Linked DNA regions of Saccharomyces cerevisiae S288C. The gene in region 1 interacts genetically with each later gene. Each region holds a gene or a part of one and is shown in the gene's direction. Other genes may lie near its edges.

Region 1 (4,666 bases):
TTTTTTTTCCTTATTTTTTCTTTGATCCCATCGAATTACTTTCTCTTTTGCCCAGGATCATCTTTCTAATCTATCATTTTATTATTTTCTCTCATGAGAAAACAGAATTTCGAAACAGATATAATAAAAAAATTGAAAAATTTGAAAAAAAAAAATCTAGAAACATATTTTCCTAAAATGAAAATCGGAAGCTAACAAAATTTTTGAAAAACGAAATAAAGAAGAAAGATTATTATTATTACTTTTTTTATTAGTACTCCATATGGACCTCTTAGGTGAGTGATCTTATTAAAAAAAATAAAAAAAATAAAAAAATATGAAAAAAAAAGAAAATTAAAAACTAAACAAATTTTATGACAGGAATAAAAACTATAAAAAATGAAAACCAAAAAAAAAAAGCACTGGATTTTTAACATCTTGTCCTTTTCTTTCCCTTTATCATTTTTTCTCATTTACTTTGTTATTAATTTTTTTTTTCAAGTTCTCCACATATACATATGTAAGAATTGAGTCTATCTCTTTCTAATATTTAAGAAATACATAAAAAAACCAATTTTTTTTTTTTATTACTAGCAAATTTATTTTTGTGAAGTGAAATTCATACATTGGCTTATTAAAGGTATTAAATATTACTGAAATTTTATGAACCAAAAAGAATAATGGATGATTGTAAGGTTACATGCAATATATCAAGATATTACTAGAGATTATTTACCGCCAGCTTCTCTAAACCACCTGATGCTTCTATCTAAACAAACACAGCATAAACTTTCATTTAAATCAGCTCCCATACCAGATCTCCAACCTTTTTTCAAAAACTTCACGTCAAAGACACCAGGTTCAGCTAAAGAATCTCCATGTTCATCAACAGCTAAGATATCCTCTTCAATTTCAATATCATCACAATGCATATTCAATGTAGTGATTCTTTCCTTTGTTTTTACATCCCAAAATCTCAATTTACCATCCCATCCGGCACTGCATAATGTTTCACCAGAATCATTAAACGATAGACTCATGACCCAGCTAGAATGTGCAAATTCACCCAGACTTGCCTGCGAGCTATGGGTTGGTACGGATAAGGAGCCTATTCTTTCACCAAATTCAGTTTCATATAGAGTGATGCAACCAAATGAATTTGAATCGTGAGCAATGGCTAATAAGGATCCTTGAGGAGAAAATTTCACCGATCTGATGGAATTCGAATTATTAATCATAGAATGCTGAGATTCAAAATTGTACAACGGGCGTAATGTAGATAGTTCTGAAATTTGTACTGTTCCATTATTAAAACCTGTGGCAATTAGTCCTCGTTCAGAGATATCCACAGAAGTGGCAAATTGACTTGGAGTCATAGGCGATTCGACAGTGCCTTGTAATTCTAACGTGGGGCTCCAATTTAGTGTTAAAGAATTTGACTCATCTGCAAACGGGTGAAACTTCCAAATGTAAGTGGTCCCTTTGACGTCTGTAGCAACCAGCCTATGGGAAAGTAGTCTGTCATTTGAGGCACCCCATTTTAATGCCCAAAAGGAATGCTTTTTCATGTCTGAGTCTAGAAGATCCAATTTCTCGAATATAACTTTTTTAGTCTCATCTTCTCTAGTGATACGATAGAAGAGTAAATCGCCAGAAAATGAAGTGGTAGCAACAAGGCATAATTCAAATGCATCTCTCTCAATAGCTTGCAAGACATCGACATGGTGCAATCCGGACTTATGGACAAAGTGAGAATATGACTTATCTTTTGGATTTTCATTATCTAACAGCTTATTATCCCACACCTTTAAGTAACCGTCACCTGAACAACTTACCGTAAATGAATTGCAAGCAGAAACCGAGAAAATATCAGCGTCATGAGCTTTACCTGCATTTGCTGTGGCAATAAACACTTTGGACATTTTTCCAATACTTGATTAACCTCTTTTTCGTTTCTTGTCTTTATTTTAGATTTGTTTTAATATCGCCTAATTTTTCCTTCTTTACTTTATATTTTTTTTATTTTTCGCCTAAAGATTTGTATCAATTAATTAGCCAACAAAAACAAAAACAATAAAGTCATATAAGGGTTGATAATTGATATTGATGGCAGCTAATTCTGTAGGGAAAATGAGTGAAAAGTTAAGAATCAAGGTGGACGATGTTAAAATCAACCCCAAGTATGTTTTATACGGTGTTAGTACACCAAACAAGCGCCTTTACAAAAGGTATTCCGAGTTTTGGAAACTGAAGACACGATTGGAGAGAGATGTAGGAAGCACCATCCCATATGACTTCCCTGAAAAGCCCGGTGTATTGGACAGGAGGTGGCAAAGAAGATATGATGATCCGGAAATGATCGATGAAAGACGGATCGGACTAGAGAGGTTCCTCAATGAATTGTATAACGATCGTTTTGATTCTCGATGGAGAGACACAAAAATAGCGCAAGACTTCCTGCAGTTGTCAAAGCCAAATGTTTCTCAAGAAAAGTCACAGCAGCATCTAGAAACTGCTGACGAAGTGGGATGGGATGAGATGATAAGAGATATTAAATTGGATTTAGATAAGGAGAGTGATGGCACACCCAGCGTGCGTGGAGCACTAAGGGCACGTACGAAGCTCCACAAGTTACGAGAGCGACTAGAACAGGATGTGCAAAAGAAGTCTCTTCCAAGCACGGAAGTGACTCGTCGCGCCGCTCTATTGAGGTCCTTGCTCAAGGAATGCGATGACATTGGTACAGCAAACATAGCTCAGGACCGTGGACGACTTCTGGGGGTTGCCACCAGTGACAACTCTTCAACCACGGAAGTTCAAGGAAGAACGAATAACGATTTGCAACAGGGGCAGATGCAAATGGTGCGCGATCAAGAACAAGAGTTGGTTGCACTGCACCGAATTATCCAGGCACAACGTGGATTGGCCTTAGAGATGAACGAGGAGCTGCAAACACAGAATGAGCTACTTACAGCACTTGAAGATGACGTCGATAACACTGGTAGGAGGTTACAGATAGCCAACAAGAAGGCTAGACATTTTAACAACAGTGCTTGAATTAATGAGTTACTATCCGGGTTACAAATCCTGAGAGTATATTTGTACTAAAAAAAAAAATTGTAAATCTAGTAATTGAAAAATTTTGGCGATGAGACGATATGGTAAGAGTAAAGCAAAGGAACCGTCATGTCGTTTACTGCTCCTTCAGATCCCGTCAATAAACCGACAAAAGTGAAGGTATCACAGTTGTGTGAACTATGTCATTCAAGAAAGGCTCTCATTAGAAGACCCAAAAACCTGTCTAAACTTTGCAAACAATGCTTCTGCCTCGTGTTCGAGACGGAGATCCATAACACTATTGTAGCAAATAACTTGTTTCAGAGGGGAGAAAAAGTAGCCGTGGGGGCCTCTGGTGGTAAAGACTCCACGGTGTTAGCGCATATGCTGAAGCTTCTGAATGACCGTTACGATTACGGCATTGAGATTGTACTGTTGAGTATTGACGAAGGAATCATCGGATACAGAGATGATTCCTTGGCCACGGTGAAAAGGAATCAGCAGCAGTATGGCCTTCCTTTGGAGATTTTTTCCTTTAAGGACCTCTATGATTGGACAATGGATGAGATTGTATCCGTTGCTGGTATAAGGAACAGTTGCACGTATTGTGGTGTTTTTAGAAGACAATCATTGGACCGTGGTGCTGCAAAGCTGGGCATATCTCACGTTGTCACCGGCCACAATGCAGACGATATGGCAGAGACAGTACTAATGAATATCCTACGTGGTGACGTAGCAAGATTGGAAAAATCGACTGCGATTATCACACAAAGTAGCGGCTCTCCCATCAAGAGATCAAAACCATTTAAATATTCTTACCAAAAGGAAATTGTCCTGTATGCGCACTACATGAAGCTGGATTATTTTTCCACTGAGTGTACCTATGCCCCAGAAGCGTTTAGGGGCACTGCGAGAGAATACATGAAGAATCTGGAAGCAGTGAGGCCCAGTTGCATTATAGACATCATCCAAAGTGGCGAAAATTTGGCATTAAAGGCTAAAAAATCTAACGCTGGAAAGAGAGTCGTCAAATTTGTTGACGGCAATAGATGCGCTAGATGTGGATATCTGTCGTCAAATAACATTTGCAAGGCGTGCATGTTGCTGGAAGGACTGGAGAAAAGTAGAGCCCAAGTGGCAATCGAGAATGACACTTCTGCCGATGGTGCAGCCTTGAAGCTGAGAGCTCTTGAGAAACTCAGCTTTTGACATATATATAGCTCGCAGTAGAAGAATGCAGCGTAACATAATATAATATAATATAGTACGGCGCGCCCTCCATTAGAACGCGCAACACAATAAAGACAAATAAAAGAATCAGCTATAAAGCTGGCCATTGCATGGTTCGCGCTGGAAAGAGAGGAAAAGCGTGGTGATAAAGAGCGAACCAAGCATATTGTTTTCCAAGAATGAGCAACGAAGATTACGGATACGACTACGATTATTTATTTAAGATAGTTCTTATCGGCGACTCCGGTGTGGGTAAATCTAATCTGTTGTCGAGATTTACAACCGATGAATTCAACATTGAATCCAAATCCACGATTGGCGTGGAATTCGCTACAAGAACCATTGAAGTTGAAAACAAGAAGATAAAAGCACAGATTTGGGACACGGCAGGTCAAGAACG
Region 2 (5,940 bases), on another chromosome or scaffold:
TCCACTATCTTATTTAATGGCATGTTGACCACTTCAATATTTTTCTTGATAAGTTTTGCCGTAATTTCTTCATTTTGAATCTGTTTGGGGGCGGAAAGAACTATTTTTCTAGATTTTAGCGATGGCCATATAATAGATGCAGACCTTTGATCAACTAAACTCTGTAAATTTAGGATTACTACGGAGCATTTCAATTGGACATTTACAGTTGAGATTGTTCTTTTGGAGAGCGTTTTGTCTATCTTTAAATAGTCAAGGTTATCAAAATTTTCTGCTTCTCCGGTTCCAGAAAATCCCGAGTAACGAGAAGCACGGTGTTTGCTCCTTTTGCTAATTGGATCACTCATATTATAACCATCTTCTTCTTCATTTTTGTTATCTTCTTCGTTTACAGGGCTCGTGGTTTTAGCACCGTCTTTGAGAGGTCTTTTCCTGCTATTTTGATTAACATTGTCAGAATCATCAGGTAAAAACATCGTAAAATCTACAACAGTACCATAATCATCTTTCTTGATTTTAGCGGGGTTAAATGGGAACATTTTATGTTTTGAAGCGGCACTTGGTTGAATTATAATGTCTACAGGAACTTCCGTATTTTTTTTCGCTGCTGATTTCTCAGAGTTATCCTTGAGTAAATTCAACAAATTGTCGTTTTCTTCCTCTTCATCATCATCTTCGTCACCCCCCATAATATGATCAATCGGTGGTACTCCATTGACGTTTTCCACTAAAATGTCTTGATTTCTCATTGCCCTCTCTCCGTTGGTATCATCTATGATTGCGTTGCCGTTAGCCAGTTTCTTAGACTCTCTTTTCACCAGTAGAATTTTCTTATTTCTGTCCCTTTTCTTTTCTTTAAGCTGTACTTTAAACGCCTCTGTTTCCTCTTTACTCAAGGGTTCTTCTTTTATGGTGTCTATTGAAATGTAATTATCGCAGAGGAATGATTTACCATCTTCAGGAAATGTTTTCCAATTTCTTTCATCTTGTTCAACAATTTCTAGTATCTTGTCTAAAGACGACGCACATTCAAAGCTCGGCTTGGTCAAAATCAAGGTTGTCTTCTCAGAATTACCAACTTTAATTATCACTTCATTAATCAAAGCTCCTACCTCAGATACGAAGCAAATCTTTGAACCAGGATATTTACTCAATTCGTTTGGTGCGATGATTTTGATCCGTGATCCAATTTCAAATGGAGAAGTATTATTTCTGTTTTCCCATGTCTTAAGTAGTGAAGGGGACAGCCACTCGAGCATTGATTTGGCATATGTTAGAGTTCTTCCTCTCGCGTAAGACAGAATAAGTACAGGTACTTGTGTGTGCGCATTGATCTTTGTGCTTTCAAATAATAACTCATGAACTTGTGTGAACAGGTCCAGAAATTTGCCACTCATATCTACCGGTATTATAACGGACCCATCCGAACTCAAACCTTTCTTTAATGTATCTTTAAAGATTTTTGAACGTTTTTTAAACGGTTGAGAGGAGCCAAACCTGTCCAAAGTAGTAATTATTGCAGAGGGCCTCATCAAAGTTGATAAGGGCTTACCAGTGGCGTCCAATATAGAAGCAGCATTTAGTATGTTATCTCTAGTGTGGTTCCATCGCTTTGCATAAACCAATTTCTCTGAGTATGTGCTAATGCACCAAATAGAACCACCTGGACACACACCAGCATTGTACGCCAGTAAAGTCAATCCATCGTATCTTGATCGTAGATCTACCAATTGCGAGTACTTCAAAGGTACAATATGATCAAAAGATATCTCAATATCTTCAAGATCGAGTTTATTTGTGTCATATGGACCTATAACACCTGCAGATGCATATGAATCTATGGTGGAAACTCTCCCTAAGTTGATAACAGGAAGAGTTGCGTAAACTTGAATTCTGGATATGAAATGCGAGGTAAAATTATAGTACAGAAGGGAATGAGCACCTAAACATTCAATTGTTGGTTGTGATAGTATTATTACATCAATTTCCGGTATCACTTTTTCCCAGTACTTGATGCATTGCTCATACGATACTTTAGATGGATTCCAACCGGGATCGATTAACAAGGTGACGTTATCAAATCGTACCACTGAACCAACGGTGGTTCCTGATCCATCATCACAGCAATTGTATTTATAAGTCATATATATTCGTCGCCCTCAATGTATGTTCTTCATTTCATCTTCTGTGTTATTTCTTTAGCGAACAAATATTCGTGAATTCGATGTTAAAACTGCAGATTGTTTAAGAAAAGCGGGAAAACGCCGCCGAAAGAAAAAATCTTTTTCTAGTAATATTTCTTATTACAACAAACATTGAACATTGAATGACTTCAATCCGTAAGGGTTCATTGCTTGTATAGTTGGACTATATGTCATAGGTGAATCATTATTTCTTGAACTCAGGTTCGCTTTACTCAGTCTAGTGCACGTGAGATTACACTGCAAAAACTCCATGAACCAAAGAACTTACCTTAGACTTGCATTTGGGAGCAAAGTTTACACTAATTAATGCTTTTTATTTTTATTGTCCCAACCTTCTAATGTGTGGATTATTAATGGGGTAAGTTGAACTTCTATTACTTCCATTGAACGTTTGAGAAGTATCATTGCTTAGGAGGTTTGCCTAGCAAAAATAGCCGCTGAAATGATGCTTGTCCGTCGGGTAATGATTATACGAACGGGTAACGGAAGATATGGAAGCTAACCCAACAGAGAGCAGTCAATAATGGATCTTGCATAAGAATGTACGGCCCGATCAAGCATCCTTACAGCTCATTCACGAAGTTTCCTTTTCAAGAAAATTTTGAAGCCTTAAAGGAATCCAAGCAGGAAGACCATATCAAACTAACATATACATTCTGCCTCGCTGCAACCTTGTTGTCAAAATAATGGATGAACACGAGGAAGCAGTCATCTTCGGTATCTGCCTTGTGGACTTTCATCACAAAAGAGGCCCTGAAATAGAATACTGGTATGGCTTACCTGAGGGCACCCAAAGTGCAGAACTATGGCCAAATTTACCCTTCCAGGCCCTTCCTGATGGTTCTCACTCGTTTGAAGAAACATTTACTTATTTCACATTACTATATGATGAAAGAAGACAAAGGAGCCCTCCCAACGGGGCAACTGATCTGAGTGATGATAGCATCAATGACAACACGACTTTGTTTGCCATATCTTGCTCGAGACAGATAAAGAGTGATGAATTGGTCACTAAAGATAAGGATGTAACACGATCTACTGTACAGAAGGCAATTGTAGTCATCTCAAGGCAACCAATCTTCGGTCAAATCAAGGACAAACTTAGTATTGTGACTAATGCTTTTTTCTTGCAGCATGATTTTGGGGACAGGAAGATAATCCAGTCTTTATACGAAAACCTGAAGTCGATTTACACGCCTGCATCATTGGTCAGAAATGCCGAAAATCGTCTTTATATTGGGTTATGTCTGAGAAAGATACTACATGATTTTAAGAGAAACGCTTTAGTCTTATTGAAAGCAATTATGCTTGAAAAAAAAATTATAGTTTACGGCAACGACGTGGAAGCTTTGTGTAATTTACAGTTCGGTCTGATCAGCTTAATTCCGGACTTGATGTCAAATTTGCAGGATTCTGGCAGTCCTCAGTTGTTTCAGGATATTTCGAAATTAAATGTTGTGGACTCGTTTAAATCAAGCAATCGAGAATCAGTGTTGAGATTCTTAGGTTTTCCATTACCGATTTTCGAAAAAGGTGGACTATTTTCACCCTATACTCCACTGCAGCAAATGAATGACATACGGTCAGAACGTACTTTGTTTTTTATGATTGGAAGTTCCAACACATTGCTTGCTGAACAAAAGGAGGAACTGTGCCACATATTTGTCAATACAGACAATTCCACTGTAGATATTCTGGACAAGACTTTGAACCCCGTCCTCCAATTGTCAAGTCATGATAAAAAATGGATTGAATCTATATCTGGAATTGTATCAGACACATGGAACGAAAATGATGATGAAACTCCAAAAAACTCTCAATTTGAAGGCAGTGAGGATTTCATTAGGTGGCAATTCGAGGACTATTTAACGGGGTTACTTTCCAGTGTTAAATTAAGTGATTATTTGGACCTGCATAAAGAGAATGATCAAGCTTTGAAGACTATACCTGAGGATATGCTAAATTCCAATCCCGTTCATTTATTCAATTTGAATTGGGTTCAGAGTTGGAAAGAGACTCAAAATTTTCTGATATTCAACTCAAGAACAGATGATAGATTGTTCGACTTGTTTCCTCCGAAGCATATATATAACGGTGCCGACACTCTGTCTCTATTACAGCAACGATTTTTGGCCACATTTCATAATTTAAAAAGAAGCTCTAGCAACTCTTCAAGCAATAAAAATGGTCATCAAAGCGAGGAGGATATCAAAGACCAGGAAAGCATCGAGTCAAAAAAGTCTGTTTCCCAAATTTCTGTAAATCCTGGAAAGAATACAGACAAGCCAGCAGCCAACTTATGGAATTCATGGAAGGAATATTTCAATAAACCAAAGAATACTGCTAATGAAGATGTTACTGAATCCACAGAAGATCTCAAAAACAGAAGTAAAACATCGAACGCGATACAGAAAGCTATGATGGGCTTGGGTTTACATTATAAACCTGATGCGGAGACAGATCAACAAAGTGAAGAGGTGGGAAATAGTGAGGACAATGAAGATGATGATACTGATGAGGACTCTGAGGATGATGATGATGATGGTGGTGATGACGATGATAGTGAGGACGATGACGATGACGATGACGGTGAGGGCGATGAAAATGGCGATGACGGTGAGGGCGATGAAAATGGCGATGACGGTGAGGGCGATGAAAATGGCGATAAGGAAGACAGTCAAGATTTTAGCAATGGTTTTACAGACGTTACGAACATTAACACTGATCATGATAAAGAAAATGAACAGAATTTTGAGGGTAATGCAGAAAATTTTAATGAGGACGAAACCGTTGCAGATAAAGATATTGAAGGTGGTCCTGAGAGCAATAAAAATTCCGACAGTAAAACTGATATTTATGAAAACGATAGAAATGTTGAAGACTCATCTAAAACGAGAAATACAGTTAAAAAATCCAATGAGGAGGGCGGTGCGAATGACGCTGCTATAGGTAATTGTGTGCAGGATGAGGAAAAATTATGATATCTATACTATTTGTTAGCAATCGCGCTAAGATATGTTTATATGACAAAAAGAAAATCAAGAAACAGAGCCCTCCAGTTGTGAAAGTTGCAGGGGAAAAAATATCCGTGAATCTCAATACCTTTAGTCGTATTGGGATAATAGCTGAATAATAATTTATAGAAAACTGGGGTGACCTCCACAAGCACAATAAGATTCAGAAATTATAGAATATAGCTTTTTGGGGCTTTCCAAAAATGGAATAGAAAATTTTTTGAAGTTATTCTATTTGCATAGACGCTCATCAAACTATGTTTAAAGATTAACTTCATAGTAATCTTTTGAATGCTTTTTAGCTTCCTAAAGATGAATAACGTAGAAAGTTGAAATATTTAGAAACAATCGCAGTATCCTTGCTAGACCCTCTTTAATATTAATAGTAATCTTGCAAACAATAAAGATAAGTAAAGTTAACGATAAAAGCATCATTTTCAACAAAACTGAAGGGTAGCGACATAATTGTCGGAGCAAAAAAATCTTCCCCGCCAGGACTTGAACCTGGAATCTTCTGGTTCGTAGCCAGACGCCGTGACCATTGGGCCACGAGGAACAAGATTTATTGTTTTTGTTTTATTACGGGCTCGAGTAATACCGGAGTGTCTTGACAATCCTAATATAAACAGTCTTAGGGAAGTTACCAGTTGTCAAAACGGTTTATCAGATTAACTCACGGATGTTACTTATCTTATATATTATATAAAATATGAATCATACTA
Region 3 (4,108 bases), on another chromosome or scaffold:
AGAGGACAGCATATCCACTTGATAAACATGGTATCAGAGGATAAGATTGAGCAATGGAAAGCCACAAAAGTCATTGGTATAATTGGTCTGGGTGATATGGGCCTATTATACGCTAATAAATTTACAGATGCTGGATGGGGTGTTATATGTTGTGATAGGGAAGAATATTATGATGAACTGAAAGAAAAATATGCCTCAGCTAAATTCGAACTGGTGAAAAATGGTCATTTGGTATCCAGGCAAAGCGACTATATTATCTATAGTGTTGAAGCATCCAATATTAGTAAGATCGTCGCAACGTATGGACCATCTTCTAAGGTTGGAACAATTGTTGGGGGTCAAACGAGTTGTAAGCTGCCGGAAATCGAGGCTTTCGAAAAGTATTTACCCAAGGACTGCGACATCATTACCGTGCATTCCCTTCATGGGCCTAAAGTTAATACTGAAGGCCAACCACTAGTTATTATCAATCACAGATCACAGTACCCAGAATCTTTTGAGTTCGTTAATTCTGTTATGGCATGTTTGAAAAGTAAGCAAGTTTATTTGACATATGAAGAGCATGACAAGATTACCGCTGATACACAAGCTGTGACACATGCTGCTTTCTTAAGTATGGGATCTGCGTGGGCAAAGATAAAGATTTATCCTTGGACTCTGGGTGTAAACAAATGGTACGGTGGCCTAGAAAATGTGAAAGTTAATATATCACTAAGAATCTATTCGAACAAGTGGCATGTTTACGCAGGATTAGCCATAACAAACCCAAGTGCACATCAGCAAATTCTTCAATATGCAACCAGTGCAACAGAACTATTTAGTTTAATGATAGATAACAAAGAACAAGAACTTACTGATAGACTATTAAAAGCTAAGCAATTTGTATTTGGAAAGCATACTGGTCTCTTACTATTGGATGACACGATTTTAGAGAAATATTCGCTATCAAAAAGCAGCATTGGTAACAGCAACAATTGCAAGCCAGTGCCGAATTCACATTTATCATTGTTGGCGATTGTTGATTCGTGGTTTCAACTTGGTATTGATCCATATGATCATATGATTTGTTCGACGCCATTATTCAGAATATTCCTGGGTGTGTCCGAATATCTTTTTTTAAAACCTGGCTTATTAGAACAGACAATTGATGCAGCTATCCATGATAAATCATTCATAAAAGATGATTTAGAATTTGTTATTTCGGCTAGAGAATGGAGCTCGGTTGTTTCTTTTGCCAATTTTGATATATACAAAAAGCAATTTCAGAGTGTTCAAAAGTTCTTTGAGCCAATGCTTCCAGAGGCTAATCTCATTGGCAACGAGATGATAAAAACCATTCTGAGTCATTCTAGTGACCGTTCGGCCGCTGAAAAAAGAAATACATAATGTTTTTAATGCTGATTTCCTATAATATTAGGCCTTCTTTTGTGAAAAGGAGTATATTTATATAACTGAATAAAAATATATATTGTGACAAATGCCCATGCAAAAAATCGTGAAAAAAGGAAGAAAGTTCTACTATTCTATGTAAAAATAAACCCATTAGATTTTTTTCCTCTTTGTGTAATGCTCACTACCGCGATTATCGTTCGTTTCATCTGGACATGCCAACGTTCTTGACCTTTTAGAACTTACGACCGGATGAATACTGTCATCATCACATGCAAGTAAGTTTTTGGTCATAAAGTCGATAGCATTGTAGTCATGTGTCCTTTTGTTAACGTTATTATTGTTGAGAGTAGATAACATACTAGACTTTCCTATGCTGCTGTTAGTATAAGGGTTCTTGCTGTTGTCTTGTGCGTGAAAGGTGTGGCTTTGAGCATTGTAAGAGGACATAAATTCATTGACACTGCCACCATTACTATTGCTGATATTATGATTTTTGGAATAGCTCTTTACTATAGAGTAATCACCTGGTTGTAAAGTACCTATCAGTTCCGGAAAATAAGATTTAAAGTCCTTATATATAATCCTATTCCACGCCCTGTTGAATTTTACCGTTGACGGTGAATACTGTAAGTCTTCCGTTGCTTGAATATGAAAAAGCGGTTGCCATATGTGGAAAAGTAAATCCTGTAATCCCAAGTCTTTCAATAAAAGATAGTTTAAGTGTGTCATCGAAACCGTTCTGTTAATTGGAAAGCAACAATTTGGAGACAGACATTTCATGATGATATATGGATCCTGGTCGTTTCCGCCAATATAAAGTAGTAGATATACTTCCAAAGAAGTCCTGGGCTCGTACATTACCACGTGCCAAAGATGTAAGTCTGAATCATGTGGCCTTACATGAAAAAGACCTTGGGTCTTCTCAGGATGGCGCATAAAATATTTCCAATCCTTCAGCAATTTCCTTGTTAAAGAGTAAGCCATAATTATTAGCTTTTTGATTAAAATATAAAAAAATCTGTTTAGCTCTTATATCGCCTCCTCGCACAAAATCACGACAAAGGCAACGTTAGATTGATGCTCTCAAAACATACTAAGAATGTGTTCTATGATATATATGGGAAGAGTAGGTTAAATATTTCTTATGACAATAACAAAACCCACTGCATCGTACAGGACGGGTAACAGAGCCCTTTCCAATTGAAATTTTGAATAAAACTATTTTGCCTATAAAAGTTAGATTTACGACAATTAATATTAGGCAGAATGTTCTCGGAACTTTCAAGTAGTAAAGGATTGCGTGGTTCATTTGTATTTACGAAACGGTGAGTAATAAGGTTTCTAAAACCAAAGGAAAAATAAAGAAAGATCTAAGAAGAAAGTTCCAGTAAAGTGAGTTATAGATCAAGATGGGTAACATTTTTAGTTCAATGTTTGACAAACTATGGGGTTCAAACAAAGAATTGCGTATATTGATTTTGGGTTTGGATGGTGCAGGTAAAACTACCATCTTATATCGTTTACAAATTGGCGAAGTAGTCACTACAAAGCCAACCATTGGTTTCAATGTAGAGACGCTAAGTTATAAAAACTTAAAATTGAACGTCTGGGATCTTGGTGGTCAAACAAGTATCAGGCCCTACTGGAGGTGTTATTATGCAGACACTGCTGCAGTTATTTTCGTTGTTGATTCGACTGATAAAGATCGTATGTCTACAGCCTCTAAGGAACTTCATTTGATGTTACAGGAAGAAGAATTGCAAGATGCAGCACTGCTGGTTTTTGCAAATAAACAAGACCAACCGGGTGCATTAAGTGCCAGTGAAGTCTCCAAAGAACTGAATCTTGTAGAATTGAAGGACAGAAGTTGGTCTATCGTAGCATCCAGTGCAATTAAAGGCGAAGGTATTACCGAAGGTTTAGATTGGTTGATTGATGTTATAAAAGAGGAACAGTTATAGCGATAAAGATTTGCAAAAAAAAAGTGTAGATGCATACTTTTTAAATGGCATTGAATATACATATAATTTGTTTTGTAACTGAATTATCAAGGAGCTCTATCCAAACATAATAGAGTTAGTAAGTGTATACATGTTTCTCTTTGGGTTTTAATTCTAAAGGCAATTACATCGTTCCGATGAATGAGAAGGCCGCATTAAAATACCTAATGACCTCTTAATGAAAGTTGCATATATACATTTAAATTAAATTGTCATTTCAATTCCGATTTATTGAAACAGGACGTCCGAAAGCAGAAACAGATTTATGTGCTTAATAACCCAATAAAGGACTTCAATGTATTCACGAAACAACACCCTTTTAATAACTAGAATAAATAATGTTACAATACCTACACTACTTCATACTTGATTCAAGAATAATTTTTTTTAATTCTTTCCCTAGATCAATAAGTTTCAATTCATTTTTATTTTTCCAAGAACAAACGTGTCTGTAGTCACAAAACTTACAGTATGTGTTGAAGTTTTTTTGAGTAGGCTCAATTGGATGCATATCTCTGCCACCAAACCAAACCATTGCAGAATCATGGGCATGGGTTCCCAGTTTCAAGGGATCATATGGGAAGATGATATTGTGGAAATTATCGTTATGGTAATAATATTCTATCATTAAATCATTCGAAACGAGATTACCCACAATAAAATAGATCTGTGATAACCTTGCCGCAAAGTATTTCAAAGTTAGAGGTGTCTTCCAT

The links. A genetic interaction does not mean that the proteins touch.
Region 2: mutations in VAM7 (region 1) and AVL9 together harm fitness more than expected from each alone (negative genetic interaction), as found in Saccharomyces cerevisiae (4 studies listed by BioGRID).
Region 3: mutations in VAM7 (region 1) and ARL1 together harm fitness more than expected from each alone (negative genetic interaction), as found in Saccharomyces cerevisiae (4 studies listed by BioGRID).

The regions. Positions count from the first base shown.
Region 1 is NC_001139.9:89,347-94,012, forward strand, and holds VAM7 (Vam7p), read left to right. Parts: upstream 1-2,085; coding exon 2,086-3,036; downstream 3,037-4,666. Other genes in the region: SKI complex subunit WD repeat protein SKI8, read right to left, coding at 708-1,901; NCS6 (Ncs6p), read left to right, coding at 3,166-4,245; Rab family GTPase YPT32, read left to right, coding at 4,446-4,666. UniProt on the Saccharomyces cerevisiae protein: Essential for proper morphogenesis of the vacuole. May exist as structural reinforcement on the surface of the vacuolar membrane and be required for maintenance against rupture by osmotic pressure.
Region 2 is NC_001144.5:374,189-380,128, reverse strand, and holds AVL9 (Avl9p), read left to right. Parts: upstream 1-2,890; coding exon 2,891-5,185; downstream 5,186-5,940. Other genes in the region: cleavage polyadenylation factor subunit CFT2, read right to left, coding at 1-2,144. UniProt on the Saccharomyces cerevisiae protein: Functions in the late secretory pathway. Required for the generation of secretory vesicles as well as for actin polarization and polarized growth.
Region 3 is NC_001134.8:567,120-571,227, reverse strand, and holds ARL1 (Arf family GTPase ARL1), read left to right. Parts: upstream 1-2,801; coding exon 2,802-3,353; downstream 3,354-4,108. Other genes in the region: TYR1 (prephenate dehydrogenase (NADP(+))), read left to right, coding at 28-1,386; UBS1 (Ubs1p), read right to left, coding at 1,543-2,376; EXO5 (Exo5p), read right to left, coding at 3,748-4,108. UniProt on the Saccharomyces cerevisiae protein: Recruits golgins such as IMH1 to the Golgi. Can bind and hydrolyze GTP. May be involved in trafficking events within the endosomal system.